Linked DNA regions of Pelodiscus sinensis. The protein of the gene in region 1 interacts with the protein of each later gene in a biochemical or structural test. Links are inferred from orthologs where the notes say so. Each region holds a gene or a part of one and is shown on either strand. Other genes may lie near its edges. The genes, in order: ERBB3, tyrosine-protein kinase TXK, ZAP70 and NRG2.

Evidence for each region.
Region 2: the proteins of ERBB3 (region 1) and tyrosine-protein kinase TXK form a complex in vitro, tested with the Homo sapiens proteins (2 studies listed by BioGRID and IntAct, with this or other methods). The link is inferred for Pelodiscus sinensis from reciprocal best matches to the Homo sapiens genes ERBB3 and TXK.
Region 3: the proteins of ERBB3 (region 1) and ZAP70 form a complex in vitro, tested with the Homo sapiens proteins (2 studies listed by BioGRID and IntAct, with this or other methods). The link is inferred for Pelodiscus sinensis from reciprocal best matches to the Homo sapiens genes ERBB3 and ZAP70.
Region 4: the proteins of ERBB3 (region 1) and NRG2 form a complex in vitro, tested with the Homo sapiens proteins (2 studies listed by BioGRID). The link is inferred for Pelodiscus sinensis from reciprocal best matches to the Homo sapiens genes ERBB3 and NRG2.

Annotation. Positions count from the first base shown.
Region 1 is NC_134729.1:4,212,997-4,220,857, forward strand, and holds the start of ERBB3 (receptor tyrosine-protein kinase erbB-3), read right to left. Parts: upstream 3,001-7,861; 5' UTR 2,741-3,000; coding exon 2,656-2,740; intron 1-2,655. Other genes in the region: RPS26 (small ribosomal subunit protein eS26), read right to left, coding at 7,198-7,233, 7,792-7,861. UniProt on the Homo sapiens protein: Tyrosine-protein kinase that plays an essential role as cell surface receptor for neuregulins.
Region 2 is NC_134715.1:87,676,940-87,684,857, reverse strand, and holds the start of tyrosine-protein kinase TXK, read right to left. Parts: upstream 3,016-7,918; 5' UTR 1-3,015. Other genes in the region: tyrosine-protein kinase Tec, read right to left, coding at 4,698-4,775. UniProt on the Homo sapiens protein: Non-receptor tyrosine kinase that plays a redundant role with ITK in regulation of the adaptive immune response. Regulates the development, function and differentiation of conventional T-cells and nonconventional NKT-cells.
Region 3 is NC_134729.1:26,549,156-26,556,069, reverse strand, and holds the start of ZAP70 (tyrosine-protein kinase ZAP-70), read right to left. Parts: upstream 3,011-6,914; 5' UTR 2,807-3,010; intron 1-2,806. UniProt on the Homo sapiens protein: Tyrosine kinase that plays an essential role in regulation of the adaptive immune response. Regulates motility, adhesion and cytokine expression of mature T-cells, as well as thymocyte development.
Region 4 is NC_134727.1:2,334,988-2,342,913, forward strand, and holds the start of NRG2 (pro-neuregulin-2, membrane-bound isoform), read left to right. Parts: upstream 1-4,916; 5' UTR 4,917-5,302; exon of another isoform or gene 5,303-5,552; intron 5,553-5,936; 5' UTR 5,937-6,110; coding exon 6,111-6,531; intron 6,532-7,926. UniProt on the Homo sapiens protein: Direct ligand for ERBB3 and ERBB4 tyrosine kinase receptors. Concomitantly recruits ERBB1 and ERBB2 coreceptors, resulting in ligand-stimulated tyrosine phosphorylation and activation of the ERBB receptors.

The DNA.
Region 1 (7,861 bases):
TGGGTCCCTGCCGTGGACAATGTTCCCCATTAGAATGTCAGACCCCCTCCTGGAGAACACTCCTCCTCAGGAGTCCTTCCACTGACAGGCTAGTGGGAAACTGAGGCAGGGGGTTGCCTAAAGCCATACAGCGAAAGCCAGACCTGGGAGTAGAACCTTGAGTCCCAGCTCTCATCACTAGGCCCTGTGCCCCGCCCAGGGCTGGCAGCGGAAGCCAGGTGCTCTGCTTGCAAGGCAGGACACCACCTTGGTTGGGTGATGACTCAGCCAGAGGCTCATTAAGAAACTGAGCCAGCTGGCTGGGGATGATACGCTCTTACATGCAGCAGCCCGGCGTTACTTTCAGTCCCTCCCCCCCCCCCCCCCCGGAAACGCTGCCCTTTCCCCCCCTCCGAGCAGCCCAGTGCCTGCCAGGAGGTCCCCATGGCGTGTTGCTTTCAGGTGGCTTTGCACCGCCCCCCTGCCCTAGAGCCGCTCAGACCCGCATGCTTAGAGAGCCCCCAAAACCGGCTATGGGGGCTCTACAGGAAAGATTCAGTTCAGAACAATCCAGCCAACCTGCGCCTGCCGTGGGGCGCAAGGCCAGGGCATCACAGCAACGGAGGCAGCTCCCTACGTCTTCTAAGGCCTCCATATGGCTCGCTGGGAGCTGCCCCCAGGATGGTAAGAGAACCAGGTCGGCAGACCTGGCAGGCCACTGTGACCAAGAGCTCAGGGCAGGGAGTCTGACCCAGCAACTCACTTCCATACATGGGGGGATGCTGCTTCTTCCCCTCCATACACAGGGAACCAACTGCAGGGGCTGGAAACCATCCCCCAGACTGGTCCCTAGCAGCCAGATCAGAGCCCAGGCTGGCTCCCGGGACCATGAGCTGGCAGGGTGGACGAGACCCATTATAATCTTCACCCCAATAGTTTGCCCTGGTGTTGCCATCCAAGGATCTGAGCCCCCTTCAGCACGAACCAATCAGCCCTGCAAGAGAGAATCAGCGCTCCTCCCCCTGTCATGTGGGGAAACTGAGGCACGGAGCCGGAGGAGGGGAACAATATGCCCACCCTACCCACCCCCTCTGTCACAGGACGTCATTGGGCGCGTGGGTGAGGCATCATTGCCGGCGTGGCAGAGAAGCCGGGTAAGATGGGGGCTCTTTTGAGAGGGTGGCAAAGCGCTAGGTCCCAGCGTCACTCTCAGAGTGAATTGTTCCCGCTGGCCATATGCACGGCTCAGCTGGGAATAAACCCACTGCTCTTTGCACCCTAGGCCCGCCCAGTTGTTTTGTTGCTGATTTCACCAGCCCACGGAAGAGTTTTGAAAGTGCCCCACCCACCAGCGAAACGGCCTTCCCGCCCCACAAACACACGCAACAGGTGCCCAGGGAGCGGGCGGATGGCCGGGCGCCAGGAAACGTTGGCCGTTCAAATAGCACCTTTAATTCCAAGTGCCTTAACTTGCCAAAGCCTGTTCATCAAGTGTACTCAAGAGAGAGGCCCCGCGGAGAGACCTAGAACTTGTAAAGCAAGATACCAAACAGCCCCAGACTTGGCCCTCCCTGCCCGGCCTTATCTGCAAGCATCTCGCTTTCCCGCAGCCGGGTGCACATTCCGACTCGGCCTCTCGGGAAAGAAACCCGAGGCTCTCCCGCATGCTCCCGTGTCTCGTTAATTTCTCCTGCTTAAACCCATAGGGGCTGTGATCTTTGTTGGGGGGGAAAGAAATGCGGAGGGGGGGGGATCCTCCGGGCCCTGACCCTGAGGCAGGGCCATACCAGCACAGACATGATGGTCAGGCCAGGGGCTTGACGTGGCACCTGGCAGATCAGCCTCCTTCCCGCAACCCCCAGAAATCAAAGTCACAAAGAGCCACCCCGGCAGCTGAAGGCAGAGGCGCCGCAAGCGCGAGGCTGATGATTCTCTTCCAAAGCCGTAACCAGTACAGTCCCGCCCCGGCACCCTGCGGTTAGTCCCGCACCTGACTCCCCTAGGAGCAGGCACCTGAATCCCTTTGAGACTTGGGGCCCTGATACTGCCATGAGCTCAGAGACCCAAGAAATTCACTCCAGGAAGGGTTCATGCGGGGGGGGGGGGGGGAGGTCAGACCAAGGCCAGTCCTGGGTAAAAGTGGCTAGTGACTCGGGGGGGCTGGTCACACCCTGCTGCAGCTCGTCGGCAGGTCCCCTCCCATCGGCTCCCTAGGCCACGACCTCCGGGCCTGACCTCTGCAAGGCACTTGCCCACGGTGCCTGTAACCTCCGGTACCAGTGCAGAGTCCAGCCCCCTGCTTCCCGGGAGTAACCTCTGGGCCAGATCCACACCCGCTGGGGGGCTGCCCGGCCCGGGGCCTGTGAGACCCCCTGTCCCGCCCTGCGCTCCCCAGACCCCTGCAAAACACCCAGCGCTAAACTCTGCCCCGGAGCAGGTGGGGGGGGAGGGGTAGTTCTGGTGCCTGTGGGGTGGGGGCAGGGACGGTCGCCCAAAGGGGCATGAGGGGGAATTACGATTTTGGGGGGGTTCGGGGGGGCCCTCTTGGGGCTCTGCCCCTCGGTAGAGCAGGTTCAAAAGCGGAGCCTGAAGCGCGAGTGACACCCGGGATACAAACACCCCCCCGCTGTGCCCGGCTCCGGAGCGACTCCGAAGCTCGCTCCTGCCTTGACTTACCCGCCTGGGAGGCCACGAGCTCCGGGCGCCAGAACAGGACCACGAGCCAGCAGGGGAACCCCGCCGGGAGCAGGATCCTCCGCATTTCTCAGCCGGGGCAGGCAGCCCGGACGGGCTAGGACATGCCGGGCAGAGGCAGCCGCCACCTGATCCCCGCTGGGGCAGGGAGAGGGGCTGGGCCGGGCCAGGCGGCGCCTCTGGCGGCCGGTGCCTCGGTCCGCGTCGGCAGCCCCGCTCCCGTGTCGCCTGCCCGGGCAGCCGCTTTGATCCGCGCTCGGGACACCCGCAGCTGCTGGAGCGGGTACAAACACACACACTCTTCATTCAGGAGTAGCTGCGCCGGCCGCTCATTGGCTGCCCGCCCCAGCCAATCAGAGACGGACCAGCTGAGGGGTGGCGGGGGACTGGGTCTGAGCCCCCTTGTGCCCCCACCCCTCGCCCCCTGGGCTGGGCAGGGCTCAGCCAGTCGCTGATCGTCGGGCAGGTTCCGGCTGCACCAGCCACTGGGTCTCTGCCCCAGGCAGCTTACAATGCCCCAGGCATGGGTCAGAGAAGAGATCCCGCCCTGCGTCCCTCAGCTCCTACCAGACAGTGCGGGGCCTACCTGGCATTGAAATCTCCAACTCCCGTGAGGATCTGGCCCCGGGGGCAGAGACAGGAAATGAACCCAGGTGTCCAAGTGGGGAAATAACCCTATACCCTTTGGCGGGGGAGGCAGACACAGCGGTGGAGGGGGGGCATCACAAGGGAGCATCAGAATTAGAACTCACGTACCCCAGCTACGAGCCTGGGGGCCAACCACGGGCCCATGCCCCTATCTTGCCCCTGCACTCCTTAGCGGGCCTCGCCTCGGCTTCCCACCCGCGTTTTGTTTCTGCAGTTGGCACATGCCACCCCCAAGCTCTGCTCTGCACCTGTCCCTGGTCGCTTGGCCAGTCCAAAACTTCTGCTCCCGCCCATCATCAGCTGCAGAGCACTGCACATCTACAGCTGGGCGCACGTCTACAGCTGGGCGCACGGGCATTGTGGACAGCTGGGGGGGGGCACGTTACAGATTCCAGAGTGGGTGGGGGGAACAATGGCCGCAGTCAGGCGCAGGCCTGAGAGGAAATGAGCTCAGAGATGGAGGCGGGAGGGGAGCTGGGTCGTCAGCAGCATGACGCACTCCTGGTGGGCGCCGGCAACTCCGCACCAGCCCCATGGCGGGCATGGAGCCAGCTCAGCAGCCTGGCAGAGCTCTTCAGGCAGCCCCCCCCCACATTACCAACATCCCCTCCGGAGAGTGGCGACTTGCCCCATTCAGTCCTTGGCACCCAGCCCAGGAAGTCTTAGGGGGCAGGGCCCATCTTTGTGTTTATACAGCACGAAGTCCCGTGACTGGCAGCCCTGGTCTGTGGCTAGATTGCGGGGGGCAGAGCAGGGCTAGCTGCGACCATAATAGACCTATTAAACAGCCTGCAGAACCCAGCACAGCGAGGGGTGGGTTAGTGAGTCGGGCACCAAGAGCTGTTACCATAATGCACCTAATATGAAGAACTGGTTTCAGCCCAACCGCTTCTTTTCATATGGGCCAATATCGGCCATTTTCGGGGACCATTTTCTAATCTCCTTCATGTTCAAGTAGGGACTTAGAGGTGAAAAGCCCCAGGAATCCCTGAGCAATAGGGCCTTGTAGCCCCCCCCCCCCACACCACTTCACTCTTTGCCATAGGGAGTTAGGGACAGTGGAAACACACCTGGTTATTTTTACCCCTTTTTAATCAGAGACTCATGTAGTCAGTCATTGGCCCCAGGTGAATTCTTGGCCCCGGTGAGTTGTTGTGGCAGAGAGTTCCACAGGCCAATCACACACTTTGTTGCCTTTTGTCCCTAGGTCACGAGAGAAAGTAAACAAAGGTTCCCGACAGCCCTTCTCTGCTATCATTTTCAGTCCCTGTGTCCTCTTGGCCAGGGCAGCAGTAAACAGACCCAAACCTTTTCTTTTTCAGGCCTCTAGGGTGGCTCTCTCCTTTCCCAAAGCTGCTGGAGCCTCCAGGAGACAGGACCCCAAACACGCCCCTAAAATTACCAGCCTGGTTGATCAGGATTTGGAGCTGAGCCTGCACCTGTTCCAGCTCTAGGGCGCCCCCCGGTGGCCATTTCAGGGACTTTCTCTTTAGGCCTAAGCTCTGGCTGCTGACAAAGACGCAGGCCACTAGGATGTCACATCATCTCCCCGCAACCTCCAGTTCCTTGCTGGGTCCCCAGCAATTCTCCCAGGAAACGGGGCATCAGCCTGGCAGAGCTCTTCAGACAGCCCCCCCCACATTGCCCCCCCCCCCACATTGCCCTCAGGGCTGGTGCAAAGGGGGCCCCGCCCAAAGATGAACTGGAGCACAGGAGTCTGCTCCCATCCTGCCTGCATCCCGGCTGGGCATGTTCTCCAGACACCCAACACTTCTGGGCCTAGGCTGCAGACAGCTATGGGAGGCCAGGCTGGTAGGGCAAGCAGCCAGACCCTGTCCTTAGCGAGAACAGGGGCCCACTTGGGCTGAGCTAGGCCTGCTTTGCTCCACTTGAACCCACTCAGTGCAATAGCACCACTTAGCCAAGCTCACTCCAGGAGCAGACCATGCTGCTAGATGGCACACGAGCTGGGCAAGTCCTCTTGCACCTACACACAGGGCTCTAAGTGCCAAGCTGGAGGAACCCTGGCTCCCGCTGGATACCCATGCACAGCCCATGGGAGACACGCTCCCTGCACGTGCCAACAGCTAAGGGACAGGACCGGTTGCCCAGCTTGTGCGGTTTCTGCAGCGTTGATTATTTAGCAACCAACAACCCTGACAAGGCCTCCCCAAGTCGTCCCGCAACAGCCACACTCTGCAATACACCCTCCACCCCCCAGTCTGCCACAGATGGGCCTTTGGGCCCCCCTGCCAGCCCAAAGGGTTCATTTTATGCTGTGAGGCCCATCCACCAATTGCCATGATCCCAGGCAGGGCCAGCCCCTGGCATGCATTGAGCCCCCCAACAGGATGCAGCAGAGTTCTGTCCTACAGTAACTGCATGCCTCAGTTTCCCTGAGCACTGTACTAATCCCTAGCTCAGGGCTACTCAACACACAGCCCACGGGCTGCCTGTGGCCCACAGCCTGCTTATGGCCCACAATACAATTTGGCTACGTCCAGATTGGCATGGTTTTCCACAAATACTTTTAACGGAAAAGTTTTTCCGTTAAAAGCATTTGCGGGAAAGAGTGTCTAGATTGGCACGGACACTTTTCTGCAAAAGCACTTTTTGTGGAAAAGCGTCCGTGCCAATCTAGACGTGGCTTTGCGCAAGAAAGCCCCAATCACCATCAGGGCTTTTTTGCACAAAATACCGCGTTGTCTACACTGGCCCTCTTCCGCAAAGCATTTGCACAAGAGGGCTTTTGCCCAAACGGGAGCAGCGTAGCATTTCCGCAAGAACACACAATCTTACATGAGATCGTCAGTGTTCTTGCGGAAATTCAGGCAGCCAGTGTAGACAGCCAGCAAGTTTTTCCATAAAAGCAGCTGCTTTTGCAGAAAAACTTGCCAGCTAGACGCAGCCATCAGGTTTATACAGGGCCCACAGCGGGGATCCTTTGAACATGGCTCCACTGGGAACACACTCCACAATGGCAAATCAATATAATGGTCTTTTGTCGATATGCATTTTAGTAAATTCCTGGACTGTCATGGCTCATTAAAAGTGGTCATAGGGGTGGAAATCGGGTAAATATCGCATTTTAATATCAGAACTGACATAAATGGGGCCTGCATGTTGTGTAGTCTTGCCTGGCAGTGTGAAAGCTATTTGAATATATTTGCATGTATAGGCAACCACTCTTACGTTGCTGCGTGTGTTGTATCATTGTGGCCCCCAGGGCTTCCAAAGTTGAGTAGCCCTGTCCTAGATAGTGATGGGAATTTCAAGAGTGACTTCCATGGAGGGAGACTGCCCCAGCCTCCCTCGCCCCCTCCCCAAAGGCTAATGCCCTCTGTGACTTGAACCAGAGGGGGTACCAGGTGATACCTTTTGCCAGGGAAGCAGGACAAAGGCTGGAGGAGCAGCCTGGGACCAGGACCTGGGAGCAAGTCAGCAGCAGATGGCTTGGGAGGCAGGAGGGCCACAGCCCTGGCTCCGGGCCTCCTCTCCCCCCTCCACCGCCCAAGACGGATGGTACCGGCTGCTTCTGGTTCCTGTGCTGACAAGTCTGTTCTATGGTGTGTCCTTGTGGACTAATATTTTCTGTTCTATCTGCTGAGTTGCATCTAACTGTGGCTAGGAGTGCAGGCGCCTCTGCCCCACACTTTGGGGACACAGCCAGTGAGCTATGGAGAGACTCCTGCCACCCCGGAGAGCATCTAATGCTCCGCTTCTTCCTCCCACAGTAACACTGTCTTGCCACAAGCTCCCAGCAAGTGGAAGAATCTGGTGCCCTTTCTCTCCCCCCACAGACTCGCACGCACCCACTAGATGTAAAGTCATTTATTGAGGCAATGTCTCAAGATGCACATTTCCAGCAGCTCTGCCTTACATAGGCTTGGGGGGTGGTCTCGGGGCAGCGCCCTAGAGGAGACAGAAAGAAGAGAGTTAGGGGATGTTCAGCTGATAGAGGCTCAGCGATCTGACCTATCAGCCTGGCAAATCTCTGATGGTGGCCAAAACCAGAGGCTCCAGAGGAAAGTGGAGGAATCCCGCAGACGTGAGATCACTGGCCTCCCATGCAAGAGCTCAGAGAGCAGCTAAAACAAGCTGTTTAACCTCCCTTCCAGGCCATGTCGCTGTGATAAGGACCTATGGCTGTTACCCACAGGACCAATCCCGTGGTCCGACTGACCCACCCGCTTCGGAGCAGGACTCTCCTCCCCATACAGTCAACAGCGTCCCAAGCGGCTGGGACTTCTCTGAAGATAATCGCTGGCCCCAGGTAAGCCGGTTCCAGCTCCTAGCTCTGTGCTGCAAGGTTTTGCTGGGCAGCTCTGATTAGGCTGGTACCTGACATTGCCAGGCAGATCAGTGGGTGGAAAGACCGTCATGGGCGTGAAGGAAGTGTGGGGAAAGCCGGGGGGGGGCGGATGTTGGCAGGAGTCGGGGTATGGGAGGGGCTCGTGCAGTGATACGTACAGCAGGCCTGAACCTGGGCGGAGGGGTACGGTCCTTCCGGGCCTCCCGGGAACGGTTCCTCACCACCTTG
Region 2 (7,918 bases), on another chromosome or scaffold:
GAGACTAGAAAGAATAGTAGATGTTTGGTGTAATTCAGGCAGATTTTCTGTGCTGCGCTTATTGTTATGTGAAACTAAGTTATACCAATAAAAAGAGTAAGAAAGAAGTGTCTGAAGAGTGATTGACCTTCTCCAGAGAAAATTATAAAATATCATTTACAGATTTCTCTTCAGACTATTCAAAAGTTGAACACGGCAGCCAACTCTAATGATAAGATGACCCAATACAAAATTAACAATTTGGAGCCTAGACTATGTTTAAATTGAGTGTGTTGATGGAGGACAGCACTGGAATTCAGTCTTCACATTTTAGATGAACTTCAATAAAAATACATATTGAAAAGTATGTTAAAATAACATAACTTTAATTGCAAAGTCACACATCAAAAGTTAGGAAATGCCAGATTAACAGTTGCCAGTGAAACCTTGAATCTATTCCTTTGTGTCCATACTTTGCATTGAATTTGGCAGGGATCCTATGGGAAAAAATGTATGTGATCGTGTAATTAAAAACTATAAAAAACCTGACCAAAATACAGAGCTTCTGGTGTTTTGATATTTCAAAATTTCCTCCAAAATGGAAATTCCATATAATTTTCATTTAGAAAATAGACACATGGTATTTCTGAATTGAATCACAGAAATATGGAAATGGAAGGAGTCCTTGAGACATCATCTAGTTCAACCCCCTGCAGTGAGGCACGACTAAATATAGGTAGAAGATTTCTGGCAGGCATTTGTTTGCTCTCTTCTTAAAAGCCTGCAAAGACAGGGATTCTGTAATTTCTCCTTAACATGTTATCAGGTCTCGTCTCCCTCTCATCCTTTTCTTAAGACTACACATACCCAGTTTTTGTAATCTTTCCTTATAGATTAGATTTTCGAAAAGTCTTTAGTCCGTTTGTCCACATTTTGGCTCTCCCCTGGACTCTCTTCACTTTGTCCAAACATTTCTTTAATTGTATCATCCAGAACCAGATATGTTACTATAGTAGAGGCATTACCATTGCCAAGTAGAGTGGAACCACTGCTAATTTCTTACATGTGACTCGCCTGTTAATGTACCCTAGAATGATGATATGAAATATGTTTCCAGGAGCATGGCAGATGCTAAATGAAATTGTCATGATTCTTCTCAGTTTTACAGCTACTATTCTGTGTTGAATGGCCCTAACACTTCCAAGAAGAAAGTACATTTGAGTCAGCAGCTGCCAGAGCCTTTATCCAAGGTCTGTGGCTCAAGGGCTGTCCAGTGCCCGGGCAACTGCTTCACTAGGCAGTGGGACAGTATGTGTGTGTGTGTGGGGGGGGGGGCACTCTGCCTGGTGGGTAGCCCTGAAATTGTAAACCCTGGAAGTTCTGGGGTTCCCTCACCTTGAGGCTGTCCATATGGCATAGCTACCTCAGAGCAGTGGCTCCTGGAGGCCTTATAGATCATGGAGAGTGAATTGAATCCAATATGTTTCCACAAAACATTTTGGGTTTGATGATTTGGCATTATCTGACAAGTCACTGTTTTGCTGAAATTCCCCAACAACTGTAATTCTGTGCTAACTAAATCTAGCATTTCCCAACTTTCACATGCTTGACTTTGCAATCCAAACAACTTTACATATAAAACTTGATATTTTGTATGCAATTTCCTAGGTTGTTTTTTAAAAGGAAAGTATTACTATAACAACTCCCTTATCACGCATCATCAGAAAGGTCTGAGCCCTGAAACAGGGTGTTTTGCCTTCATGGGCTGGAGAGCATGGAGCTTATCCAGCCCTGATAGAGGATGAGGTGCTGGAGATGAATCAGGTAATTGTGTTTAAAAGGAGTAGGAAGTTGCCGTGAAGAATGGCGGACAGTTTAGGAAGCTGAGTCAGTCTGCAAGCTCTCTGAACAGGAAAGGGAACTGCAAAACTCTGCAGGCAGAGAGGTCTGGAGGTCTTTTGATCAAGCAGGGAGAACTACAGAGGCTCCATTCAGGAACACCTGGAAGAAGAAAGAGAAACCTTGGATTGTGTGAATATATAAATTGACCTTATTTGGAGAACTTTGAGTTTTATTTACAGTTTGTTTTGTATTAATAAACCCAGTACACCAAGAGGGCTATTAAGTGTGGGGAAAGGGCTTGCCCACTACCCAGTATATCTGGTGGAGCTCTTCGTAGTAGGGACAGGAGTGTGGTCCTGCCCCGGAGAGAGTGCTGCGTTCTCTGGCCCAGGTGTACCCTTGCCGGAGCTCCTTGACCTTGCTCCAAACTTGGTCAAGGGTGCAGGGGTGGTGTCCCGTGGGCCAGACCTTCGGCCATGCACCCATAAATGTCTGCGTTGCGGTGCTTGGAGCTGAGATCCTTCAGGGCCTCCTCTTCCCCCCACAGCTCAGGAGGGACAGGGTCTCTGGCCCGGTCCAGGAAGGCGCCTGGTATTTGGTGCCCCCGGGTGGGTCCTGGGATCTCTGGTGTGGCTCCTTGTGCAGGCCAGGTGGGTTTCGGGGAGCTTGTGGCTCTGCCACTTGTCAGCAGGCCTGTGGCAGTCACAGCCATGCAGTCAAGGTCCTGCTGCAAGGCCGGCTTCCTGCCACAAGGCTTGTCCCGGGTGCCTGCAGCTTTAAGAGCTAGAAGGAGACAGGAACTCTGGAGTTGTGATTAGAGTGGACGGAGTGTGATTAGTGTGGACGGAGTTCCCAAAAAAACTCTGTGGTCTAGATGCACCCCAAGTGATTTCAATAGAAAAGACTGCCGTGTTAGGTCCTAGTTAATAATCCCCATCAATTTCTCACCTTGTATGCATATTATAGTTCATTTACACATGGGGGCCTTTGGTGAGGGTTAAGAGAGCTCAATGCTATATAAGTAGTGCTCAGCATTTTTTGTGATCAGACCCATTCTGCAATGGTAAACTCCATCCCATATCAGCAGGACATCTACTGTAATCCTCACTTTTATTCATATAAAATTTCTAAATATGTCAGATATTTCATATTGTGGCTCAGAGCTGTATGTATTGTACATACGCATCCTCTGACATTGAATCCTAATGTAAGCACTTAACACACATACCTGAAGATGTTCAGTCCTACATCTTTGATGTAAATCCATGAAAGTCAATAGTTCTGCCAGCAATATATTTGGCCAATAAATCATTTTCTGACAATAAATCAATGGCAAACTGCTATTCCAGATTCCAAACAATTAACATGTGGTTTATTATACACATACTGTAGTATGACATTTGCTATACAATCTATAAAGCTTATTTCATTGTGCACAACTGATGACCGATAGAATGATAGAAATCTGTCATTTTATCAACATTCATGGTATATTTTCTTTCATCCAGAGATACCATATATCACACTATTTGTGTAACCTAAAATAGAGCAACTTGTGTTTTAACATTTTCAGGAACACTTACATTTCATATAAATAGATGTGTACATTATACATTTATAGTACAAAGAGTATATAAATTATTTAATAGTTAAAGTCAATGTGATATAGTTCACTGAAAGTCAGCTGTGATGTATAGTTCGTGCTGTTCATCACTATAATTGGGCTCAGGACTGGGCCCCAATGCTCTTTGGGTGAAAAAGTCCCAAGAAACAGTCCCTGGCATAAAATAAATTAGGACTCAGTCCCACAGAGAGGACTTTCAGTGCCACAGAGAGGACTTTCGGTGCTGCACTTGAGCCATTGGTCTACGCTGTTGACCATGGTACTTTGCTACGCACAAAGAAAAGTAAATTGAGGGGAGTGTGTAAAATAGACTAACAGCATAGCAAGAATATTGGCCCTAGTATATGGCATAAATCACCAGTCAACAGACTGTGAGGAAATAATAATTTAGAACCTTTGGAAGCATTGCTATAGGAGTAGGTGGCCCTCACCAAATGACCTTGCTTTTAGGTTTTAAGCACAGCTTTTAAATGCACAATTGACTATTACTACTATTGACTGGCAGTAAGAGTAAATGAAACTCATAAGCATGAACACTAAATGTATCACTTGCACAGGATTGCACTTAGTGTTTGTGCTTTGGCCATATCCTGTCATTTGCTCCATGCATCAATCCCAACCTTTTACTAATCTCATGGTGACTCCTCTGATGGAGCTTAGGAGTGTTCTTACATTGATTAACATGGGCAATAGATAATAGGAAAGACTAAGCCTCCATAAACCTCTGCCAATGCTTCCTGCCACAGCCCCAAGGTTGGACTGCATCAGACTGAAAGCTCTTCTGAGCAGTCTGGACTCAGATTGACTGAGGTTCAGGGCTCCTCAGGAATACTCGGGGCACTGGTGGGCTGGCCAAGATATGGGGCTGCTAGGGGCACTTGCAGGCTGGCACAGGCTTTGGGATGCTCTGGGCACCACCCAGGGCGTGGAGCTATGTTGGCAGGCCAATCAGTGAGAGCAAGGGATGGGGCAGGGTCTTTGGCAGAAGAGGTTGGGTGCAGGAGCTACCTTCCCCAGTTGGGGGCTGCATGCATTGCTCAGGTTGGTGAATATATTGTGCATCTTTCTCTACAATGCATAATCATTTTTCCATGTGTCTGTTGAGAAAATGCTAAATGATAATGCTTAGGCTCGCCACATTTCATTCAGCATACTCAAAATCTTGCACGATGATGCTCAAAGAATAATTCTGTGTCTTTACAACGTTTATTCTTTGTTGTACTGTAGAATTCTTGTGCCTCTGTTCCTCTCTTCAGAAAGCATCTTCACTCTCCGCTATCTCATCAATTGTACGCAGCAAATCTTCAAATGTGGGCCGTCCCTCAGGTTTCTATGAATTAAAATACTTCAGTTGTACTAAAATCACATCAGAAAGAGTTTATTTTGCTAAGGCAATAATGTGCACAAAATAAAATATAAGGGAAAATGTGGATGTAAAGAAAAATATGCTGTTACATTTAAGTAGGTTAGAGGCATTGGAAAGAAACATGACAGGTAAATTTCTCTTAACCCAAAGTATTGCTAGTCATGAAATGAGGTTGTGTACTATATTATTTCCTATTAATCTAAAATGTATTCAGAACCTCACACATTGCTGAAAATGCTACACAGTGTGATTTTTCTTAATAGATTTTGAGGTGGAAGGAGCATAGGAATTACCATATTGAATTAGACTCAAGATCCATTTAAGCTAGTGGCCTATACTTGACAGTACTCTTGCACTAGATGCTTCAGAGGAAGGTGCCAGAGCCTTCTCATTAAGTGAAAGTGATAATTTGCTCCTCCCCTGACATTATATCTCCTCATAACCCCTTAGAGTACATCTACACTATAGAGGAAGATTGAAGTGGCCACTGTGGATCTTCCAGGGTTTGATTTAGTGGGTCTAGTTAAGACAGCTAATTCGAACTGAGAGGGGCGCTCCAGTCGTTGCTGGTAGTCCTGCTTTCACAAGGAGTAAGGGAAATCAACAGGAGAGTGGTCTCCCTTTGACTTCCCGTAGTGTAGATAGCGCCAAAAGCCGAGATAAGGTACTTTGACTTCAGCTATGCAATTAACGTAGTATCTTAATACTAAGAAGTTGAGAATCTTAATTTGACTTAATTAACAGGAATGTTGTGAGCAAGACATGAGAAATCATTCTTCTGCTCTACTCTGCATTGATTAGACTTCAATTGGTGTTTGTGTCCAATTCTGGGCACTACATTTCAAGAAAGATGTGCAGAAATTGGAGAAGGTTCAGAGAAGAGCAACAAAAATGATTAAAGGTCTAGAAAACATGAACAATGAGGGAAAACTGAAAGAATTGGGCTTGTTTAGTTTAAACAAGAGAAGACTGAGGGGACAAGATAGCTGTTTTCTAGTATCTAAAGGGGTGTCACAAGGAGGAGGGAGAAAAATCGTTCTCTTTGGCCTCTGATGATAGGACAAGAATCAATGGGCTTAAACTGCAGCAAGGGAGGTTTAGGTTGGATATTAGGAAAAACTTCCTGTCAGGGTGGTTAAGCACTGGAATAAATTGCCTACAGGGGTTGTGGAATCTCCATTACTGGAGATATTTAAGAGCAGGTTAGACAAACACATGCAAGGATGATCTAGACAGTGCTTGGTCCTGCCATGAGAGCAGGGAACTGGACTCAATGACCTCTTGGGGTCCCTTCCGATTCTATGACTTTGTCCAGTAGTGTAAATGTACTCTCAGAGATTTTCCTGAACTCTGAGCCATAAAGTTTAACATCTCTTCTGAAATTTGTTAGCCCCATGTTCTTTTATTATTAGACAGCAAAAATAAAAGACCTTGACCTAACTTTTCTATGAATTATTTTATGTCCAGCAAATCGACTAACTCTATTACGATTCTTGACTCGGATGTGCTTGAAGAATGCTTAATGACTTTTTAAAATACCTTTTGCTCATTGATATTGAAAAGCATTTTGTTCAGTTTTGCTGCCTCTGATCTTCTCCAGCATTATACACCCAATATTCTTTTCTTGATCCCGAGATTGTTTGTATAGGCAGACTAATATATTGGTATTCTTACAGCTTGGGATTTATATCCATAGATTCAATTGCATGGTCCTCTCACTGGATTCCATGGAATATTTTGCATTCAGCACTACTCCCTCGCCACTTCAGCCTTGTCTATCTTTCTATATAGTTTGTGGCCAGGTACTACAAAATTCCATTGATTTTTGTCATTCTACTATGTTTCTGTAATGCCTGTTACACCAAATCCTCTTCTGTTGTGAGGCATTCTAATTCAACTAATTTTGCTTTGAGGCTTTTTGTATTTGGATTTTGCAATTTTTACTAGCTGCCTGTTGTTGTTTAATTCCTTGCACTGACACACTGCTGATTTTATAGATGTTTCCCCTGTGGTCTTTTCTTATCCCTGCTCTAGATCAACTATAAAGAAATCTTTTCCCCTAAGAAATAAACATCAAGGCTGTGTCTAGACGGGCAAGTTTTTCTGGAAAATCAGCTGCTTTTCCGGAAAAACTTGCCAGCTGTCTACACTGGCCGCTTGAATTTCCGGAAAAGCACTGACGATCTCATGTAAGATCGCCAGTGATTTTCCGGAAATACTATGCTGCTTCCGTTCGGGCAAAAGTCTTTTTCCGAAAGACTTTTGCGCAAAAGGGCCAGTGTAGACAGCACAGTACTGTTTTCCGCAAAAAAGCCCGGATCGCAAAAATGGCAATCGGGGCTTTTTTGCGGAAAAGCGCGTCTATATTGGCCACGGACGCTTTTCTGCAAAAAGTGCTTTTCCGGAAAAGCGCCCTGCCAATCTAGACGCGCTTTTCTGAAAATGCTTTTAACAGAAAACTTTTCCATTAAAAGCATTTCCGGAAAATTATGCCAGTGTAGACGTAGCCGAAAAGTTGAGAGAGAGAAATAGCTCAGAAAGTCATAAGAGTAATATTAAAAATTACCAGATCACAGCGCCTAGTCCTGCTCACACTGAAATCAATGGCAAAATTCTCATGGATTTCAGTGAGAGCACAATTTGGCCCATAGTCAATGAAAGAGAAAGTCTTCTATTCTCATTGTGGGGTGATTTCAAGAATGTGTGTGATCAGTTGATATAGAAGATCCAAACATAGGGCTCTAATGCCTTTAACCCCTCTTTGTGGAGCATCATATCTTTTACATTACAACATTTAATTCTGTTCCTATTTATAATTACTTCCTATGTTTCTCTCTGTTCTCATTGGTACCATTACTGACATGTTTTCACTGCTCTCTGTTAATAGCTGCATGTTATTTTTTTCTCCTCGCCTTTTTAATTGTATTTCCTTATCTGTATAACTACCTCTGGGTATCTTTCAAAGTGCTCATACGTGATCACTCAGATACCTAACTATTCATCCTCCATGCAAATCATGGCCACTAAAACAATCTTATTCCCCATTGGATCACTTCATGTCACCCTGTCCTTTTGTCTTTTTCCATTGGTTCCTCCTTTGAAATTCA
Region 3 (6,914 bases), about 22 Mb from region 1:
AGAACTAAGAAACCTGAGAGCCCCATCTGGCCGCGGCTGGGGGGGCAGGGCCCGGGGACTCCCCACCCCTCGGTGACAGGGGGATAGGGGGTCCCTGCGGGGTGACTCTGGGGGGGGTCAGTGCCCCGAGGGGGGGCGCCGTGGTCTGGGAGGGATGCGGCTCCTACTGTCAGGTGGCAGAACCCGGCCGGAGGGGCGCTCCAGCGCTGAGGGTGCCAATTCCCAGCGTGACCAGCAGGAGGCGCCATGGCTGCGCGGGCGCCCGGGTTCCACGCACTGCGCGGTGAAAGGCCCGTTGTGCTGGCCAAGGCAGACGTCTCTCGGGCATGTAGCCGGCCCCGTCGCTGGAGGAGCCAAGCACCTCCCGAGCTCTCTCAGCAGCCCTGGAGGGCAATGCAGGGCTGTTCTCTCCTACTGTGCCTCGGGCCGCTCAGGGCAGAGCAGGGAATTGGACCTTGGCTTCCTGAAACCCAGGCTGCTGCTCTAACCACTGGCCCTCCCTCCCCTAGGAGCTGTCCTTCCGAGGGAGCCGCTCGATCCCCTTTTCTCCTGCTGGGAGAAGACGCCACGTGAACCTCGTTCACCCCGCCCCCCTCCCGCTTGCGTTCCAGACTGACCTCGCTTGGACCTGGGCGTGCGCCATCGGGCAGCAGCGAAGCCCGAAGCCCCAAGCGCCGTGCAGCAGAGTCTGGTCTAAACACACCCTGCCACTGACAGGCCACGAGCGAGAGCGTTCCACGGAGCCGCCGTGGCCTTTTGCTCTGTTACAAACCCCTCCCGTCCCCCCATCTTCAGAACTCTGCAGCGCTGCCCTTAGGCCGTGAGGTTACCCTGCCCGCTTGGTACGTCTAGACCCTGTCAAACGGGAGCTTGACCAGAGCCTGCAAATGAACGAAGGAGCCATGAGGAACGGGGGAGACGGGCACCCGGGGAACAAAGCGACGTGCCGCCGAGGTCGCTGGACGGGCCGCGGGTCGCAGTCTGGCTCGCGCTCCGTGAGGGCAGCGGGGTTAGCAGCGGCACTCCCCCGTCGGTGATTCCGCACCCGCCTCACCGACTCTGGCCGCTGCCCTGCCCCTCGCTGCCATAGGGCTTCACCCGGCGGGGCAGCAGCAAGTCCCAGCGTCCCTCCTCTCTCCCCAGGAAACGGCTCAGCTCTGCCCTCCGAGGTGCAAAATGGTTCTGGCTCCAGGGCCTGGCCAGGCCTTGGGCTCTCCGCTTCCTGCGCGACTGGCCCGGCTCGGGGGGCCCTTGCTAAGAGATTTGTTGCCCTGCTGGAGCCAAGTCGACCTTTCCAGACCTTGGCTGCCCGAGGGCTGCCTGGCGTACCCAGCGCAAAGCCTGACCTAGAGCCCCAGGGCAGGCAGAGACCCCAAGCAGGACCAGCCCCAACTCCATCAGCCCGGCCAGGGCTGTGTCCAGCCGGGACTTAAACACCCCTAGGGACAGAGATTCCCCCCCTCCCAGGGAAATAGTTTTTCCTAATATCCAATCTAGCCCCCCCCCCACTGCACCTTGAGCCCATTGCTCCTTCTTCTGCCACCTGCCCCCACTGAGACCAGCCTCTCTCCATCCGCTTTGGACCCCCCCTTCAGGGAGCTGCAGGCTGCTCTCAAATCCCCCCTCACTCTTCTCTTCTGCAGACTGAACAAGCCCAAATCCCTCAGTCTCATGACTCTTAACCTGTGTCCCAGGCACATCCAGTTTCCAGGCTAACTCCCCAGTGGGCCAACTGCTCGTAACAGGTCCCAGGCCCGTTCCATTGGTGCGCAGAGGCAGCAGCGGAGAGAGGCAGCCTATAGGGTCCCAAGGTCCTGAAAAAGCCAAGCCCATCGGCTGGACACGCTAAGACGGAACTCGACCGCGGCTTCGAGCCTGTTTGCTCCGACGTTCCGGATTGCTCACTTGCGAGGCCAAAGCATGAACACAATGCCAGTGGGCCACAGAGGAGCCTCCCCCGGGGGAGAAAGGCGACTGAACTGACAACACACACAAATCAGGCAGAGGTGGCAAATATTCGAGCTCACCTAACCCCTGCTCCCGGCCAAGACAGAGCCCTTCCCTCTGCGCTTCTCTCCCGTTCTTTGTCCTGATCTGCTTACAGCTGACCCACGCGGTGGGGTCTCCAGAGCCTCCCTCGGGGGCTTTGTCCACCCTCTGACAGATCTGGCCATTAAAAAAGGCTCCAATTTCCTTTGCTCCACTTTGTTCTATAGCCCCCCGGACCATGCCCAGACTGACAGGGCTTTGCAGTGGTGCCCGTGTTTGCCAGACAAGTGCAGGGCAAGATGACATGGATGACAAAGGAACAAAGGGGAATGGTGAAAATTTGCCAACAGCCTGTCTTGTGGGGCGTCTTGGGCGCTGAGACTTGGCCCTGATCCGCTCTGTACTTGACGGGGTTCGTAAATGTCAGGGAAGCTTAACCACGCTCTCCTTCCCATGTGGCTAACAGGGGCCAGGGGTGCTGGCTACATCCCCCCTGGCCACGGGTGCTGGGAGAGAGGTTCTGGAGGTGGCTCCGGGGGTGGAAAAGTTTGAGCCGCCCTGGCGAACAGGATGTCAGACCATTTAACCACCATCATGAGTCTAACTGCCCCCAGCTTTCTTCTGCTCTGGTCTTCCGTTCCGCTCATGAAATCCAGAGTAACCCTGGGCAAAACTGGGCCCACAACTGGATTTAGACTCAGGCCTTGCGCTGTGGCCATCAGCAGGCCCCCGGCGCGCTCAGGATGCATAGAAAGAAGAAGAGAAGGGACGCCAGCAGCGGCATGAAGGACCGAGCGAGTCCCGCACGGCAGCTTACCTGGGCTTGCAGACGGGGCGAAGGGCTCGGCTGGTCCCTTACATCAAAGGCATGGTGAGAGGGACCGATATTCCCGGGCATGCATGTGCCGTGGCGCTTTTGGAAGCGAGCAGGAGGGAAACGGGCCACGTCCTGTCCCCTGTGCTGACTGACATTGACAAACCCCCGCGTACGGGCTGTTTGAAATGTGACCTATTTCCTTGTTGCAAAGACAGGAAAGCAAAGACGAGAGAAAAACTCTGCAGCTCTGAAGGGGGCAAAAGTTCTCAGAACCCGCCTGATCTGGTTGCATAGCTGCCTGTTGGGCGGTGGGACAACCTCAAATGAGGGAGGTAAAGAAACTCGGTTCTCCTAAGCAAGTGCAGGGCTGGGGGAGTGGGGCCTTGGCTTTTGGTCCAGTGCACCTCGGGAGACACGCCATGAGCTGCACGCGGATGTTGGAGTCCGTCCGCTTCCTCGGCCTCCTGCCATTAGAGCTGCCTGGGCACAATACAGCCTGTAGGCCAGATCCGGCCTGCCCCGCCATCGGATCCAGCCCATGGACTCTGCCCCAGGCAGGCTCCTGCTTGCCTCGCCCCACCCGCACGCGCTCCAAACCGCCGCTCTGGGCGGTTTTTCTTTAAAAACTGAGAGTCTGGAGGGGAGGGGGAAGCTTTAGCAGCTGCTACCATCCCCAGCACAATGCCATTATCCGGTGTCTGGCCAGAAACCAGCCAAGGGGAGTGGCCTGTTTCAATAACAGGCAGCCACGAAGCACAAGGGGCTCCAGAGCACATGGCTGCAGCCTGTGGGGGCGGGGCAGGTGGCAGTGGTCCCTCTAAACTGCTTCAGAGGGGATTAATCAGCCCTGCCCAGCCAGAGGCTCAGGGCTAACTGGGGGAGGCTGATGAATCACCCATGAAGCTGGGCTGCTCCCGCAGATTAGAGGGAACACTGGCTGGCAGGGAGGCTGATTTCAGGAATGGGCTGCTGGCTGGTAAGTCTCGTGGCCAGACTCTGCCTCTGGCACCCCAGGCCCTCCCTTCCCCAACCCCCAGCCCCCCACTCCTGGCCTCTACTCCACATACCCAAATCCTCTGCCCCCCTCCTGCACTCATATCCCCTGCTCCAGATCACAGTCCCTAGCTCACAACCCAACTCCCTGCATCCCCTCCTGTACCCCAATTCCCTGCCCTAGGTCACAATCCAGCCCCCAGTCCCCCAGTCCAGTGCCCCAGGCCACAACTGCCCCCTTCACCCAAACTCCCTCCCTTACCCCAAGCTCCCTTCTGCACCCGACCTCCATCCCAGACCCCGCACCTCCTCCATTCATATCATGGAAGGGTGCAGCCCTCGGCCACTGTCCACATTCTTGGAGGGCCCCCTGTCAAAAATTATTGCCCCCCCCCCCCGCCCTAGAGGGAAGCACAGCTCTGAATGGCTCTCACAAGAGGGCAGTGGTCACATAGTCCCTCCCTCCGTGTGCAAACCTGCCTGGGCCTTCCTGGCACCAGCGTGGTCGGCCTCCTCCCGGGTGTGGTTTCTGCCTGTTTAAAGGGCAGGGGTTGAGATTCACTGAACCTGGAGGGAGGTATCACAACCTCCCTGCCCTTCTCAGACAGGTGCAAGCTGGATCCCAGCTAGATTTGGAGGGTGATTCTGGGGGGTGTCCCCTGTGAAGACAGGGTGCAGGCAGGGCTGGATGGAGGCATGGGCGAGCCGCGCAGCTGCCCAGGGCGCCAACCGATGGGGGGTGCCTGATGGCAGCTGTAAGGGGCGTGCGGCGTCCCGCGCGCCCAACTCCCGCAGTGATGGCCCGCCCACATCTCCGCGGTGCCGGCCAGCAACGCTCTTCCCCTCTATGGCCGCAGGGCCCTACATGGCCCAGTGCATGCGCCAGCAGCAACAACTGGGCCAGACTGGGCCGCGCTTGCACTGTGCACCCTAGGGGCAGGCCCTGGGCTGTGCACCAGCGGGTGTAGCCGGGCCGCGCATGTGCCATGGGCCCCAGGGACAGGCCCGGGCTGCACGTCAGCAGCTGTAACCAGGCCACGCATGCGCCGTGCGCCCCAGGGGGTGAGCCTGCGCTACCTAGGGAGGTGGGCCCGCTCCCCAAGGGCGAGCTCGCGCATACGCTGTGAGCCCCAGGGGCAGCGCCGTGCGCCCATGCCCGGGGTGCCAGAATACCTCGGGCCGTCCCTTGGTGCAGGTGTGGGAAACATCAAGGCATAGCAGTCGGAGGGTTAATCCACTGAGGCTACGTCTACACAGCAGCATTATTCCAAAATACCAGAGTCCGCGTCTGCACCGCAAGCCGTTATTTCGACATGATGTCGAGCTGGACGACTTCTCACTCCGACTCCCGTAACCCTCACTGTGCGAGGAGGAAGGGAAGTTGGCAGAAGAGGGCGCTAACTCGGACTTCCTGCTCTGTAGACAGCACCAAAAGCCGAAATGAGCTATTTGGACTTAGCTGAAGTTTTGTGGCTGATTCCAGCTTTAGCCCTGCTGTTTAGACGTGCCCAGAGAGGTTTGTAACGTGTTTTCAGATCCTCGGCCGAGCGAAAGGTGAAATAGAAGATAAAGCATCTGATGAACCGATTGCCCCTGAATGTTGTTCCCCTTCCCCTCACGGGGTTCTATTGACAGCTTCCAATCTGGGATTTCTTGTCTTACGTTTCATTCTGCAGCAGTATGAGATTGTTCCCACTCATCTATATTAACGGTTTAACGTTGCACACAGGACAGCCACGCTGCATGCCCTCCCCACTCGGAACGTCCTACCCCAGATCTCTCCGCTTCCAAGCCAAATTGCACTTAAGCTAACGGGAAGCCTAAATGGGAAGCCAGGGAAATATCATGGTAGTAGAGGACAAGGGCTCTCAACCTTTGCAGGCTACAGTACCCCACGTAGGAGTCCAATTTGTCTTGCATACCTCCCCCGTTACACCTCACTTCAGAACTACTTGCTTACAACATCACACATAAAAATGCAAATGTGCCACAGCATGCTGTTACTGAAACATTGCTCACTTCTTTATTTTTACCATATAATTATTTTAAAAATCAATTGGACTTCTATACATTTTGTACTTACATTTCAGTTAGGGGATGTCTACACTGCAGCCTATTTCGGAATAGGGCTGCAAATGTAGGTATTCGGAATTGCAAATCAAGCCTGGGATTTAAATATCCTGTGCTTGATTTGCATCTTCCCGGCCAGGCGCCGTTTTTGAAATTTACAAGCCCAGAACAACTGCCCGTGTCTACATGCAGCAGTGAAACGGGTGTTTGAAATAAAGCCCTAGTTTGAACTACCTGTTAAACCTCATTGCAGGAGGAATAACAGGTAGTTCAAACTAGGGCTTTATTTCGAACACCCGTTTCACTGCCGCGTGTAGACGCGGGCAGCTATTCCAGGCTAGTAAATTTCAAAAAATGGTGCCCAGACGGAAAGATGCAAATCAGCCATGGGATATTTAAATCCCATGGCTCGATTTGCAATTCCGAATGCCTACATTTGCAGCTCTATTCCGAAATAGGCTGCAAGTGTAGACATACCCTTAGGCTATGTCTACACTGGCCCCTTTTCCGGAAGGGGCATGTTAATTTCAGCGATCGTAATAGGGAAATGCGTGGGGGATTTAAATATCCCCCGCGGCATTTAAATAAAAATGTCCACCGCTTTTTTCCGGCTTTTAGAAAAGCCGGAAAAGAGCGTCTACACTGGCCCCGATCCTCCGGAAAAAGCGCCCTTTTCCGGAGGATCTTATTCCACTTTGAAGTAGGAATAAGATCCTCCGGAAAAGAGCGCTTTTTCCGGAGGATCGGGGCCAGTGTAGACACTCTTTTCCGGCTTTTCTAAAAGCCGGAAAAAAGCGGCGGACATTTTTATTTAAATGCCGCGGGGGATATTTAAATCCCCCGCGCATTTCCCTATTACGATCGCTGAAATTAACATGCCCCTTCCGGAAAAGGGGCCAGTGTAGACGTAGCCTTTAGAGTGTAAAAAAGTCATGCTCTGTATGAAATTTTCATTCGTGCTAGCTTGGAGAGTGCTTCTTATGTAGCCTGTAGGCCAGTGGTCACCAACCAGTCGATCGGGATTTACCAATCGATCTTGGAGCCT
Region 4 (7,926 bases), on another chromosome or scaffold:
AGACAGAGGCCAGTAGGCGTCATCCACAGCCCAAGCACAGCAACCAGCAAGGTACTGACACTACATCCCAGTTATGAAGCCGGGGGCACCTGTTGATCATATGAACACAACGAAGCCACTGCCTGCCCCGAGGAAACAGCAGCAGTAGACACAGAACACGCATGCGGCAGGGGAAAGTGAGAAAGTATCTGACAACTTGGCTTCGGTCCCCAAAACTACCTAACCCTTCTGCAGCAATGACATGCTCAGCAGTCTCTGATCTGTAAGGAGGAATAATTCTGCGGCCCTCGTGTCCTCCCTTCTCGGAGCACTCCCCACAGTACCGTTGTATGATTTGTATTATAGTATCACCGGGAGGACTCCTGGAGTCAGGTGCTGTACGCACAGAGAGAGACAGAGCCCGCGAGATAAGCAGACAAGACACAGGGTTGCGAAGGTGGGAGGGAAGCGCCAGAGAGATTAAGTGATGTGCCCTGGTTGCAGAGTTAGTCAGCAGCAGAAGCTGTAGGAACAGAAATCGTGTCTCCTAGCACTCCATCATGCTGCCTCCGATCGGCTCATATTTCTAAGCAGCCCCGGGACATAGACACTCAGTGATACTAATGCAGGCTAATTCCTGGCCAGCTGATGGCTTGTTACCCCAGCTCCCTTCCTAGCTTTGTTCCTGGTCCCAATTGATTTTAGCCATCCGTGGCTGTAAAAGTCAGATCTTTTACTGGCCCTTCTTCCGTTGAAATCAAAGGGGGGAGCAGTGCCAAGCAGAGAGAGCCTGCAGGATCGGCTGGCTACTGTTGCTTTACGGAGCCTCATACGATATGGGGGTCAATAAGAAAGCAAAAAGCCCAGAAGCACGACATGGACCACACAACAGAAACATTCGGTGTTAATGGGCAGAACAGCTAAGGAGCAGAATGAATCTTGGAGGGAAATAGGTTGCCACTTTTAGTCTTCTTGCTGAATTTGCCATGCTCCTTATATGTTTCTTTTTCTTTAAAAAGCTAAATGCCTGGGGCTAATGGTATGAACCAAGAAACAGGCTAGAATGCTCATTTCTTAAGCATTTGAAGGAAGTTGGCAGAATACTAAGCTGGAAATCAGACAGAGTGTCAAAAGACAGAGGACTGTAATGCTGCCAATTAGCTTTATTTCTGGCCAGCATGATGTGTGGCTGGTTGGTGTAGTAAGAAATCTGCACTGCAGGGTTTAGTCCACACAGAAAAATAGTAGCAATGCTCTGCAGCTTTCTTGGGTGTGTGTGTGTGTGTGTGTTAAATGCTTTATAAATGGTGGTATTCATATTTTCCAGATGGGGAGAATGAGGTTAAGAGACTATCCAAGGTCACTCAGCACACCAGTAGCAGAGCTGACCCCTCCGATCACTAGTCCACCGCCCCCCGCGCTACATCACATTGGTTCCCTGTCTCTGATAATCTCGGGGCTAACGCTCCCTGTCATTCTCTCGCTTTCCTTTCTCGCTGCCAGTTTGGATCTCCCCATCCCTGGCAAACGAGCCAGCAGAGACCTGCCAGTTACACTTCTCAGCAGCGTTCCTGCTCTGTGGGGGCCAAGCGGGTTATGTGCTTGCCTCAGGGCTGCTCCGGTTTGCAAACAGCCATGGAAGAAGACAGTGAGTTCCATGGGGCAATATATGAGCCCCGTGCGCCAGCTCCTGTGGGGGGCGATGCTCCCCTCGTACGGCAGCCAGAATTAGAATCCTCTTCCGCAGCTTTGTAGAGGGCAGAGACTCCCTGGTACTCATTAAGTCTAGCGCCTGCTGGCATCCGCACCCCAGAGCAAGCAATCCAGAGTCCTGCCTCCTGGCACCGTGGGGAAGGACTTGGGGAATTAGGCGCCTGTGGGAATGTCAAAGGCAGAAGAATCTCTGTGTCACTGTAAGCAGCACAAAGCCAGGTCTGAGGGTTTGGCTGCTTTGGGCGAATCAGCAAATGCCCTCTCCTGCCAGCTGTCAGTCACACAAACATTTAATGTGGAGCGGATCCTGACAGTTTGCTTGGTGATTCTCCTCCCCCTAGTTCTATCTAGCAGCAGAGCACAGAATCCTAGAACACAAGAACCAGGAGGGTCCAGTCCCCTGCCCTCAGGTGCCTTACGGCTTCCCACATAGCAGGACCAGGCCAATTTTGAAGGGGCAGTTTCATCTCTAAGGTTGTGTCTTGACTGCAGGGTTTTTTTTCGAAAAAAGTAGCCTTTGTTCGAAAAAACGTCACCTGCGTCTAGACTACAGCCACGTTCTTTCGAAATGAAATCGAAAGAACGCGGCTTTTCTTTCGACAGCGGTACTCCTCATTTCACGGGGAATGATGCCTTTTTTCAAAAGCGCTCTTTCGAAAAAAGGCGGTATGTAGTGCAAACTGTGCTTTTTCGAAAGGGAGTATCCAGACTGCCTGGGTGCTCTCTTTTGAAAAAGCAGCTTGCTTTTTCGAAAGTATGGATTGTAGTCTAGATGCTCTTTTTTGGAAGAAGCTTTTTCGAAAGTATCTTTCAAAAAAGCCTCTTTCGAAAGAAGCTTGCAGTCTAGACGTAGCCTAAGGAGGAGAAGCATCCCCAACAGAGAAGAGCGCTTGAGCTGGTCCTAGAATAGTGATAGAGATGTAGCCGTGTTAGTCTGGTGTAGCTGAAACAAAACACAGGACTATGTAGCACTTTAAAGACTAACAAGATGGTTTATTAGGTGATGACCTTTCGTGGGCCAGACCCACTTCCCCAGATCCTTTGACTTTCCTTCCCGTGCCATAGGAATGTCACCCACAAATCCCAATAGTCGCAGAAAGGGGCTGGAGCATTCCAGGACCAGATCAGATCCCACAAGTGTGTTTCCACAGTGCTCTTTTCCTTCCCCTCGCGCCGTTCAGCCAGTCATCCCGGGTCTGCTGTTTGGTTGGCAAGTCTTATTTTGGTGCCTGCTCAAAACATCAGGAAATGGTGCCAGTTCTTACAATAGGAGGGTATCCTAGGACATAAAGGAGGCCAGCTGGCACAGCCACACAGCAAACGTCACTGGTCGAGGAGAAGCGATCTTGGACGAGATGGTGCAATCCAAACATCGGATGTTCTTTGAAGTGGTGGCCTAAGGCGGAGGACTGGGGGGAGAGGGAACGCATTGACCAGAGGACTGACAACAGTCAGAGGTTCTCAGCCTAGGATCCCCAGGGAGGTCACAGTTAATGTCAGAGGTCAGACCACACTGCCAACTTGGAGGGATGACCACCGCCTAGATGGAAGGGGGAGTCCCAGGCTGGTCCTGCCCTGGAAAAAATCAAGAGCCACTGGGCTAGGTCACCACATCAAACAGTCCAAATGCACAGCCTCCGAGAGTTATTGCTGCTTGTTGACCCGTGTGGTGCAGGCTGGTAAGTCTTAGGGGAGGGCTTAGTGGGCAGATGTCCACACTGCAGGAGCCACCGACATGACTGGCAATCGCTGGCACCTTTATTGGCAGTCTCAGTGCAGAGAGGCTGAAGATTAGAATGGGGCTAGAGCCTGAACCTTTCATCCTCAGATGTGGTCCCTGCAGGGCACGGGAGAAGGGCTGCATCCATCCCCCCTGCCCACGTGGCGACTGTTCTGGGAGTAAAGACACGGCCCCAGTGTCGGGGGAACGTCGCCTGGCGCAAAGGCTGGGATTGTCAAAGACGCCCCAGGGAGCAGTAAGGTGACTAACAGCCAAAGGTGCCACTGAATATTGTATTAGAATTAATTTTATTGACCCCACTCTCGGACTAGGAACCAAACGCCTCAGCTCCCAGGGGTGGGTAAGGGAGATCGAATCCCAGCCTTAAATCACCACGGACAATTAGAAATGGAAAATACATCAGTGGGTTGCCTCTTGGAAGTGAGTAGTAGGCCCGGAATCAGCAAGGAATTTAAGCACCTCGTTAAGCTTGCTTTTAATGAGATTAGTCCTGCTTAAAATTAAGCAGAGGCTTAAGTACCTTGCTGAACTGGGGCCTTACTGCAGGTTTCTCTCAACCTAAAAAAACCTCAGGGTCATGTGGACATAGGGAGGTGTAGGGGAGAAGCAGAAAGCCAAAGAGAAATATGTTACTAAGTATATAGGGTACGTCTACACAGCAAGGCTAAAGTCAGATTAGCGTAGCACGAGTCAAAATAGTTTAACTTGGCATTTGGCGCTGTTTACACAGCAGGAAGTGGAAGGAAGAACAGTCTTCCTTTACTCCTTGTAAAATGAGGGTTACAGGAGTTGGGAGTGAGAAGCCCTTTATTTTGAAATAAAGCCTTGTGGTGTAGACACTCTTTGTAACAGGGCTGTGTGGCTGTACCCTATGATAAATGTGCCTAATAACACAATCCCTTGCTTGAAGTTGAAGAAGAATGACTCAGACAGACGACATGCTTTAAGTATCCCGAGTAGTGGGAGAAGTATGCATTAAAAAACAACCCAAACCCAGATGGCTTCCTACCCGCTGGAGATCTGAGTGGACTCATGCACTATCAAAAGCCAGGGGTAACTCGTGGGAGAAAGGTACATGCATGACACTGATTTCAACTCTGCACGGGAAAGATGGTGGAATACAAGGAATGTCAGTATCACTACTTCCACCTGTTCTGGATAATTCCACCCCCATTCCATTCTGATTTGGAGATACGGATACACGGGCTGACACCCCCTATTGCACCATCCTTACCCATCGCCCCCAGTGATTTGCAATCCCATTCTTGTCTACCCCCCTGGGAGTTTTGCGCTGAATTCTTGCCGGACTTTGCCTGTAGAGCACCGAGCCCTGCCTTTCTCCCTGCCAAGGACACTCCCGGCACAGGAGCCCCGTGCACGTGATTGGGGCTGCCCCCCCCACTGAAGTCAATGGTAGACGGCGGCAAAGCAGGCAGGCCCAGGCCGCGGGATCCCCCCCCCCCTGTGTCATTTTCCACCCCAACGGGCAGCCCCCAGGGGCAGAAGGCGCCTCTGAAAAGCCGCCGCTAATTAACGGCCCGGGAGGCCCGGAGCGATGGTTTTCGAGCGGATTGCGGGGACGTAAAGCGGGGCGCAGCCTCTCCGGAGACGCGGCTTTTCTGGGGTCCCCTCGCCGCCCCCCTTGCTCGGAGCGTGCGTGTCTGAGGGAGGCAGCGGGCCCCCCCTGGAAGGAGCCATTTTCTCCTCCTTCCTTAGGCCAGTTCGCTCCTCTCCAGCCCCAATTCCCAGGTAATCCCGAGCCGAGCCAGCGGCGGGGGAGGGGCTCGGCCGCCCCAGGCGCCCTGCCAGCTCGGAGCCGGGGCCTCTGCAGCGCCGGGGCCCCTGACTTGGCGATTCCGCTGCAGCCGGGTAAGCGGCGCGTCCTGCCCGGCCGGCGTGTGGCTCCGCGGGGCGCGAGGGGATGCGAGCGGAATGCCAAGGGCTGCAGAGAGCGGCTCGGCTCGGCGCGCTCCCCAGCCCGGCCCGCTCGCTCCAATCGGGGGGGGGGGCGCTGCCCATGTAGCCCAGGGCCCCGCCTGCTGCAGCCACCTGCGCCCCGCGTCCTTGCTGCAGGCGGAGGGGCGGGCGGGGCCGCCCGGGCTCCAGGCCTGGCACGGAGGTAGGTGCCTGAGCGCGCCCCACGGGGTTGCCCGGCGCCCCCGCCCCGCGCTGCATCCCCGAGGGGGCGGGGAGTCCTCGGCACCTCCCGCAAGGGCGCGGGCTCCGGCTCTCCCGGTGCGGGGCGGGGAGTCCCGGAGATCCCCCGCGGGGGCGCCGCGCGCCGGATTCCCCGGGATCCCTCCCCAAGGGCGCTCCGGGGGACTCACCTGCCCAGCTGCGGGGCCGGCCCGGCCCGGGGGACAGCGGGGCCGAGGCGCGTCCCCTCCGGGCCCCGGAGCTGCCTCGGGGCCCCGGCCCCCCGCGCGCGCTGCGCCCCGGCGGGGCCGCCCGGGGAGGTGCCGGGCGGGCGGGCGCCGAGCTTACGCCGTTTCCGGTCCTCCAGCGCCTCTGTTTCCCCTGCCGAGGCGGCGGCCCCCCAAATGGCCTGGCCAGAGGCGGCCGCTCCGCTGCTCCGCGCCGCCACTGCAGGAGGCTCCGTGCGCCAGCAGCAGCAGCAGCGCCCGCCCCGCTGCGCCTCCCGAGCCGCCGCAGCCCCGCAGCCCGGACAGCAGCCGGCATGAGGCGCGCCCCGACCCCCGGCTTCTCCATGCTGCTCTTCGGCGTGTCCCTGGCCTGCTACGCCCCCAGCCTCAAATCGGTGCAGGAGCAGGCGTACACCGCGGCCGTGGTGCTGGAGGGCAAGGTGCAGGCGCTGCCCGGCCCGGGCAATGGCACCCGCGAGCCCCCCGCCCCCGCCGGCGCGGTGCTGGTCAAAGTGCTGGACCTGTGGCCCCGCAACAGCGGGGGGCTGCAGCGGGAGCAGCTGATCCGCGTGGGCAGCGCGGCGCCCTGCTTCAAAGTGAAGCGGAACCGGCGCTACATCTTCTTCCTGGAGCCCACGGAGCAGCCCCTGCTCTTCAGCCCGGCCTTCGCCCCCCTGGACACCAGCGGCAAGACCCTCAAGAAGGACGTGGCCAGGATCCTGTGCGCAGACTGCGGTGAGCGCCGGGAGCGGCTGGCGGGAGGGAGGGGGGCTTGGGGTGTGTGTGTGTGTGGGGGGGCGGACGCAGCGGGGGGGCCGGGCAGGGGCGCGCACCGGCAGCCCCCCGTGGGGCACCACGTCGGGCGGCTGGAGCGACGGGCCGTGCGCCACGGGCTCCCGCCGCCAGCAGAAGTTGGGTGTCTTGAGCGTGCGAGTTGTGTCTGCGGGGTCGGGGGTCGGCGCCTGCCCGCCGGCCGCTGGGGACTCGCCGGGGCGGGCAGGGGGGCGACACTGAATTTGGTTGGCGGCTCTGGGACTTGCTCCGGTTTCCAAACTCCTGCTGGCTGCAGGGCGAACTCTGCTCCTGTAAACAGCGCCAGGCGGGCGGCTCCCCGCGACCCCGGCCGTCGGCGTGTGGAGCGCGTCTAGCCCCGTGGGCCGCGCTGCGCTTTCCAAGGCTCCGGAGGGGACCCGAGCCAGGCCTCGGAAGGGGACCATCCCTGGTGGCTTGATCTGTCCTTTCACTGACGAGTCTAATGCAGCCTGGAACAAAATCGCCTCCCGTTGGCGAGGATGATCCGTCCCGGGAACTTATTCCTGCTGGACGTTGTCGGTTGCGTTCTCACACCTCGGGGCAATCCGAATTGACCGCATCCCTCCCCTCTCTGCTAGTCGCAGCGCGAGCGTGCAGGTGATCCGGCAGCTAACGCCCAGGGGTCTGGTGGAATGGGGTAGAGCTCACAACGCAGTCCTCGGTGTCGGAAAGTCAAACAGACACAGGCTGCTTGGATACAGTTTGCAGCTGAATCCAGAGTCAGGTTTGCAATTAGACTCTGCTGCTCCTCCAGACCTGTTCTAGCACCGCAGTAGTTGGGGTCAAGTCTCTTCTAGTTTCTCATATTTCGTGTTTCTTTTTGTTGTGGATTTTCTTTGATGGCCGCAGCCAACCTACTGAATGAAAGACCTTGTCATGTCCGGAGGCTCCAGCTCTATTAACTGTAGCTACTGAATTGTATCTGAGGCATTGCTTTCTTAAAGGAGAAAGCATGTTTACAAATGCAGACAGATGTTTTGTTGACAGGTGCATGGGTTTTGGAAGAGACTCGTTTGCAGGGAGGTGTGACAAGTTTTGAATCAGTCAAAATGGCGTGATAATGTTCTGAATTTTTTTTCTTCCACCATATTTAGTTTTTCTTTGAGTAACAAATGGTGCGATGTCTGTACTGTGTAAAGCCGCATTTCTCAAATTGTGGGTCCCGACCCTCTGGGGGGTCGTGAGCAACTTAGGGGGGGGGGGGGGTTGTGGTGTCACAAAGTTTGAGAACCCCTGGTGTAAGGACTTTTGTTTTCAAGTAAAGATGTCAAATGATTCAACAGGAAAGTGTTGGTTTATGACTGCTTCTTGCCCTGA